2 linked regions of the Lytechinus pictus genome follow. The protein of the gene in region 1 interacts with the protein of each later gene in a pairwise test. Links are inferred from orthologs where the notes say so. Each region holds a gene or a part of one and is shown on either strand. Other genes may lie near its edges.

The links.
Region 2: the proteins of E3 ubiquitin-protein ligase DTX1-like (region 1) and beta-arrestin-1-like interact in a two-hybrid assay, tested with the Drosophila melanogaster proteins (2 studies listed by BioGRID). The link is inferred for Lytechinus pictus from reciprocal best matches to the Drosophila melanogaster genes dx and krz.

Annotation. Positions count from the first base shown.
Region 1 is NC_087246.1:30,365,895-30,369,654, forward strand, and holds the start of E3 ubiquitin-protein ligase DTX1-like, read left to right. Parts: upstream 1-1,463; coding exon 1,464-1,654; intron 1,655-3,760.
Region 2 is NC_087260.1:3,961,523-3,965,282, forward strand, and holds the start of beta-arrestin-1-like, read right to left. Parts: upstream 2,790-3,760; coding exon 2,755-2,789; intron 1-2,754.

The sequences.
Region 1 (3,760 bases):
CATCAACTCTCTCATTTGTATGTTATAAATGCTCTGTGAAAAAAGGGAAAATCATAAATCCGATTTTGATAACTGCTTACGGTTGTCAAGCTCCATAGTATTCAACTTTTATGCGGTTCATCGGTACATGCAAAGACCTCGGATCATCGACACCGGTCTGCATGGTATCCGACGGTCCCGGGGGGGGGGGGGGCAGTCAAATGTATTGCTGTACACATGCGTGACCAAATTATTTCCAAACACCCCTTAACGATTTTTTTTCTCTGTGTGCAAAATAACCCCCTAAACAAGTTTTTGCGGGCTTTATTTACACATTTTGGTCCCTATAAAACAAGTTGTCGCGTTGACAGCGAGGTGACAAATTTCACGACCGTTTTCCCGTTTCCCAGGCCCGTTGCAGGGTCGTTGCTTAGTAGGGAAGAACCCGAACATTTATCAGAAACGAGGAGGAAAAAGCCCCGGTGAAAAGTGGGGGGAAAGGCTTGGATGGACCTATCGAAATCAATGCACAAGAGATTCACATGATCAAACACACTAAACAATTAATCATTTCTAAAAGCACCTTTTTGCAGACATTAACATATCTCACTACTAAAAAGTAATCGAAGCATGAGTAAAAAAGGGCTTCTTTGTACAGACCTATCGACTATTAGAAGGGATGTAGTTACCATTTGATCCTCATCTTGAAGAATCTTCTTCCCAATTAACCTTTCTTCCTCTTCTTTTTTTTTCTCCCCATTTTTTGCGTCGCCAATGACGGGGGGGGGGGGGGGCTGATCCGCCGGCTTTGGAATAGAACTTCCCCTATGTAGGAGGTCCGAGGTGTAGCAAGTGTGTAAAGTTGAGTATGAAACTGCTGAAGGGAAAGGGTAATCTGCACTTCCATTTTAAGAAATGGCAAATTGATAGGCCTACATGAATAATGCTAAGTTAGTAAGTGGTATAAGAATTTTTTTTTCATCTCTACATTATTCCTTGTCTTTACGTGCAAAACTTACATTTTTATGCCATTCAAATTTGTTATCATGTTCTTCCATTGTTTTAGAAGTTTTAACTAAAGACAAAAAGAAAAACAAATATTCATCTCGGCATTTGAAAAAAACAGTAGGCCTACAATGATTGGCGCAAATATTTGGCGGCATATGCCTACATTTTCTGGGAACTTTCTATCTCACGGTGCGGACTGAGAAAAGATAGTTCCAATTTCTGGAATGTCGCCATCTACGGTTTATCTTTGTTTACTATACCGGTAATGATTTCGCTGAACCAATTACACGATGCCCGTCTCGACTTGTCCCTCATCTGTGCGGAGGCAACGGCTAGCGCTTGCTCTCGCATGGTCATTGTTCGGCTCATCTGGAGCAGAGCTGACCCCTTCCGCACGAAGCCTCGCAGCGCTAGCGAAGTAGTGGATCGGCGAATTGCTCCTACTAGCTGCTCGAATGAATGAGGACCAAAACAATATGGACGAGGACGATGTAGTTGTGTGGGAATGGTTTTCCGACCACGGACGATGGCGAGCTTACGATCCGTCCGTGGTCGTCGAATTGGAAGCGGCATATGGCAGAGAGACCACCCTGGCACTGGCGGATGTTGACCCAGCCTTGTCATCTTATGAAATAGATTTTTCAGCCATGCAACAGTATCGGACCACGTCAGGTTAGCCGGGTTGTTTATCATGTTTTTTGTTATTGTTAATCTGTTGATGTTTGACGCTAATAATGAATGGTAGATCTGCGACTGAGTGCGAGTAGCCTGGAGGCGTCTGGGGAGTGAAAGACATATACTGTACGTATGGTCCCTCCCCTAACGCCTGGGAGCCTAAGCTATATTCCCACACGCACGGGTACAAAACCTGAAACTTTCGCCCCCGAGATTTCTACTTTCCCTCTAAAAGATCTAGCCCTAAAACATGTACATGGAGTTAAACTCCATTCCCAACATTTCTGCGATATTGATTACATTTTTAAAGAAGAATTCATGAAAAAAAACGAAGAAAATGTTATGAAAAGATGAGAGAGCTTACGGCCGTGTTTACGTCGCCATCTTGATTTCTTTGTCTTCCGCTTGGCGACAGCACGCAATCAGCACGCGATTGCGTGCTGTCGCCAAGCGGAAGACAAAGAAATCAAGATGGCGACGTAAACACGGCCGTAAGCTCTCTCATCTTTTCATAACATTTTCCTCGTTTTTTTTCATGAATTCTTCTTTAAAAATGTAATCAATATCGCAGAAATGTTGGGAATGGAGTTTAACTCCATGTACATGTTTTAGGGCTAGATCTTTTAGAGGGAAAGTAGAAATCTCGGGGGCGAAAGTTTCAGGTTTTGTACCCGTGCGTGTGGGAATATAGCTTAGGCTCCCAGGCGTTAGGGGAGGGACCATACGTACAGTATATGTCTTTCACTCCCCAGACGCCTCCAGGCTAAGTGCGAGTGCAAGTTTCATATCTATCAACTCCAAATTCATGGGAACCGGCGGGTATAACGTTAGATCAAGTAACATGCCCAAGATTCGACATGTTAACATGGTTAAAACCGATAAGCTTTTCTGAAATATCAGATCATGCTGAATATTTGTTTTGTTCCAAAATTTCTTTTCACAAACCTGACAAAGTGAATTGCACCAATGTTTGTGACGTGAATAGTGTAGATCTACATACCATACATTACCTCGAGCGAAGTTCGTGCAGGCTCCACTCCACTTCACTACCGCTACACTATGCTCCACCTACCCGAACTTCGAGACCATGAACTCAATCGGATATTCCGAGTGACAAAAGGTGGGATTTTATGGGGAGAAAATACAAAATTCATGCAACATCACGATCTTTAAAAACAAGTACAACTAATATTCTTACTTTACACAAAGTTTCACTTCTTTTCCATGCTTCTATGAGTCTCAAAATTGATGATTTAGAGCCAACACGTAATAATTCGCTGCCGATTTAAGAACATTGCATGCGCGCGAGGGTCCGAGCTCGGACCAGACGGACCAGACCCGGTACCTCCCGCACGCGATGTTTTGAAGTCGGCAGCGCATTAATATTTATACGTGTGAGGAACTTCATATTGGCTCTAAATCATCAATTTTGAGACTGATAGAAGCATGGAAAAGAAGTGAAACTTTGTGTAAAGTAAGAATATTAGTTGTACTTGTTTTTAAAGATCGTGATGTTGCATGAATTTTGTATTTTCTCCCCATAAAATCCCATCTTTTGTCACTCGGAATATCCGATCGAGTTCATGGTCTCGAAGTTCGGGTAGGTGGAGCGTAGTGTAGCGGTAGTGAAGTGGAGTGGAGCCTGCACGAACTTCGCTCGAGGTAACCGTACATGTACTAATACTATGTAGACTCACTCATTCAATGAACAAGGTTATGATATAACCTTGTTCTCAGTTACATCTCCATGTGTGGCAAAATAAGGGTGGCAATGTTTGGCTTATTTTCTCTTTTTCGTTCGGACAAAATACAAATGCTTGATTTTTTTACACTGACAGTTTCCATTACACCTATTCATCATACAAGTTATGTAAGTGCATGTCAGACAAAAAATTGCTTATAAACAGGATTTTGTGTGCAAAGTCAATGCAAATTATGTTGTCAACCAAAAATCATAAATGTATGAATATTTTTAGTTTTGCTGGTCTAAATGTATTTATGTTATGCTTTTTATGATCTCAGAAGAGTCCCCAACAAATTTCGAAGAAAAAACAATGAAAAACGAAAGGTCAAAAAAACAGAAATACATAAGAATTTG
Region 2 (3,760 bases), on another chromosome or scaffold:
ATTCTTGCTAATGTCAGGACACGCGTGTCGAAGTGTGTATTTGTGGGTGTGTGTGCGCGAGTGCGGTGTTTCCGTGTGAGTGGTAATCGGATGTTTGGATGTGCAGGTGAAACATTTCCATCGCGCAAGTACAAACAACCAAAAAAAAAGATCAAAATTATACTGTACAAAAGAAAAGGAAAGAGTAAATCCCCTTCATCTCTTTCCTATTCTGCATGCATGCTAATGGCTTCAACCCAACGACAGTCACCTCGATAATATTCACAAATGATTTTTGTTAGAACAGGAAATTGACAGGAAATCAACGGCATCAAATTTACCAGTTGTCCTCTCAAACGTCATTTCGAGTGCATTCAAGTGTAGGTAACGCCTCTTCACTCATATTAGCTTGCACTCGTCATGTTTTCCCCTTCATTTTGAATTTATTTTTAGATAGTCAAGAAACAGAATTCAAGTCAATGCTTTCTCTAAACCCATGTTCTTGTCTATATCCCCGTGTATACTCACAGTATCTTTAATAATGAACAAAATAATCAAAGAAAAGCCGAAGAAGTGAATTTACCTGTTCATTTAATTTTTTTTGAAGGATAAATGGAAAGTAGTGAAAGTGAAATTTTCTTCAGCTATTCTTAGATTAATTTATTCATTATTTCCTATCCTTGACGGAGAACACATTACCGTTAAATATATCTACTGTATATGTCTACCTATCTAACTCCAATCTTTCTACTTGTCTATTAATTATATCAATGAATATATATACATATATATATATATATATACATGTGTAAAGTTATACATGTACAACAGCATTGGCAACTCTTTTTATTTAAATATTGTAAAGAAATGGATGAAGAGAACAATGGTAGGCGTAGCTTAAATCATGGACCTATGAAGAGATGGACATTCATCGCTTAGATAATGAATTCACTAACAGGTGACGGTAATTGTCATCTGAATAACATTCTCTTCATACTAGTCTTCTTTGGTCCTATGATCGTCACCGTGAGAAGGGACTGAATTAGTTCGTGATTGGACATTTATATTTCACAAATTATATGCGCAGTTGATAGAAAATCAATGAAATAATGGATAATCGATGTGCAGTTTTTGTTTACCTTTGTTAATCTTAGTTCCATGTGTTTTATTTGGGGAAATGTCTGCATATTTTAATATAGAGGCAATATCGTGATTGTTTACCATTTAAAATTCAATTTTCCCAAGTTTCTCCATAATATTCCAGATATACGTGGCACATAACATGTGTAGATCGTGTATCTTTCAATGTTATTGAGGTCCTTATGTGTGAGCGGTAGTTAGCGGATCGAATAATATCATATTTTATATCATAAAAATCGTCTGCTTCTCAAGTTTGCTGATCCATATATGAAGCATATTGACTGAAAGGCACATACTGAAACAGGGGATCAGCCAACAAAAATCAAGACCGGGAAACTGTTCCGTCTTTGAGTGATCAGATACCCTTGGTAGTCATGGTAATTGCTATTGTTATAACACCTGTATGTTCTCATTAAGATGCGCATAACCAGGTGACGGTGACTATCATTGGGTCAAAGAAATGCTCGCGTTAATCGTCCATCTTTTCATAGGTCCATGCTTAAATCAAGGTTCCCCAGAGCTCTCTACCCTTTGGAAAAATTGGTGATGCCGAAAAAATGTCCCTGCCGGGAATCGAACCCGGGCCCCCAGCTTTGAACGCCGGTGCCTTAACCACTAGACCACAGAGACGGGTTAGTGGCTAGGGCGACCCCAATCCGATTGACCGTCAGCTAGACATATTTTCGACACTATACCAATTATAATTTCCTTTGTCGGGTGAAGGTGGGTTTTTAACAATGACAAACCGCCATGCCTCAGCTGGATCAAAGCTATTGCTTTGATACAGTACACGTATGGGAGAATGTATACAAATGTGTAAAGTTATACATGTACAACAGTATTGGCAACTCTTTTTATTTAAATATTGTAAAGAAATGGATGAAGAGAACAATGGTAGGCGTAGCTTAAATCAAGGTTCCCCAGAGCTCTCTTTCCTTATATATATATATATATATATATATATATATATATGTATGTATCCATTAAGATCCATTTGAAAAATAATTTTTGAAAAGCACTCGGTCATTTTATGATGAAACACCAAGCTTCTAAACACATCAAAGGTAATAGGTTTCTAAAGATGAAAAAATGAATTTAAAAAATGGGGGAAAATATATTAGTTGGGAGATCTAATCTATTATGAATCAATTTAAAACATGTTCCTTTTACCACGATTTGGATGTTGCAAGTGAATAATGGGTTTATTTGCATGAATATAAAGTTAAAAGGGGCCAGTATATATCCCTGAGGTACATCCATTATCAAAGGCAATAGAATATGAGATAAGAATCCTTTGACACGCAGTGTTAATCATCGTGTTCATTTAGATTGGTCCGACTATAACATGCTTGCCAACATGGAAATCTGCAAAAGCGGTAGACACAGCAAGGGTCTGGGTGGGGATGGGGGATTCCCCCCTTACTGGATCAGGGATTTTTTTACATCCACGGTTATCCTTTATAAAATGTTCAGAAACAAATCGGAATCTGATTTTCAGTTCTATTCTGTTAATTCATTTCCACTTTGAATATAGCTGATTAGTCATTGTTTCTTTAATGGTTAGATTTACTTCTCGAATACAAAAAAAATAAATAAATAAATCAAAATAAAAATAAATTAACTTGATTTGCCTACCTTGTTCCACTTTTGCCTTTAGACCCTGCTGACATGTTGCTCTTAATTCTGGCGGATTCGGAGATAAAATGAAGAGTGGTCTCAGGTATTGCCAAGATGAATCTGTATCAGGCTCGTTCGGAGTTTCCTGTTACAAAGGGCGTAAATGTCAACACAATGAACAAGGTTAATAGAGATGTAAGATGTGAACAAATAGGTCTGGGGTGGTAATATATCGCATGGATTTGATGGAATGATCGAGGAAGATAAAAATATCTTCAACGGATAGGGATGAACAAAAGATATGAAAACGAAAGCGAGCGAAAAGGTTGGGGGAGGGAAAGAGAAAATTAGAGGAGAGAAAAGAGGGAGCAAGGGAGAGAGGGAGGGAGAGAGTGGGGTTCGAGGGGGAAAGTGAAAAAGAGAGTGACAGAAAGAGAATGTATGATGGTGTGTATGCGTGTGTGGGTGTGTATGTTAGTGAGAGAGAGAGTGGGAGATATTGAATAAATGTGTGTTTGTGTGAGAGTGGAGAGAAAGAGAGGGGTAGAGAAAGTGGTAAGGGTGGTGTGTGTTTGTGTGTGGGTGTGTGTGAGAGAGAGAGGGGGAGAGATGGAGGGAGGGGGAGAGAGAGGGAGAATATAATTTGTGCGTGTGTGTGTGTGTATGAGAGAGAGGGGGGAGAGGGAGGGGAGAGAGGGAGAATATAATTTGTGTGTGTGTGTGTATGAGAGAGAGAGGGAGGGAGAGAGAGAGAGAGAGAGAGATGTGTGATGGAGAAAATATATTTTCAAGAACAAAATTAATAAGCAAAGGGGATTCTGCATCGTTATTTGATTAATAAAAACCCGTCGCTCTACCCATCAAGTGTTGCCATGTCAACCGAAAGAGTCTGTCTCTATTAATATATAGAGTATAGCACTATGTTTACATGCAACCAGCACTTAATGACCGAGAAAAATACAGTGAACATTATGAAATCCTCTTGAAGAGCTTCTTCATTGATATTTATGAAATAGTGTTTTTT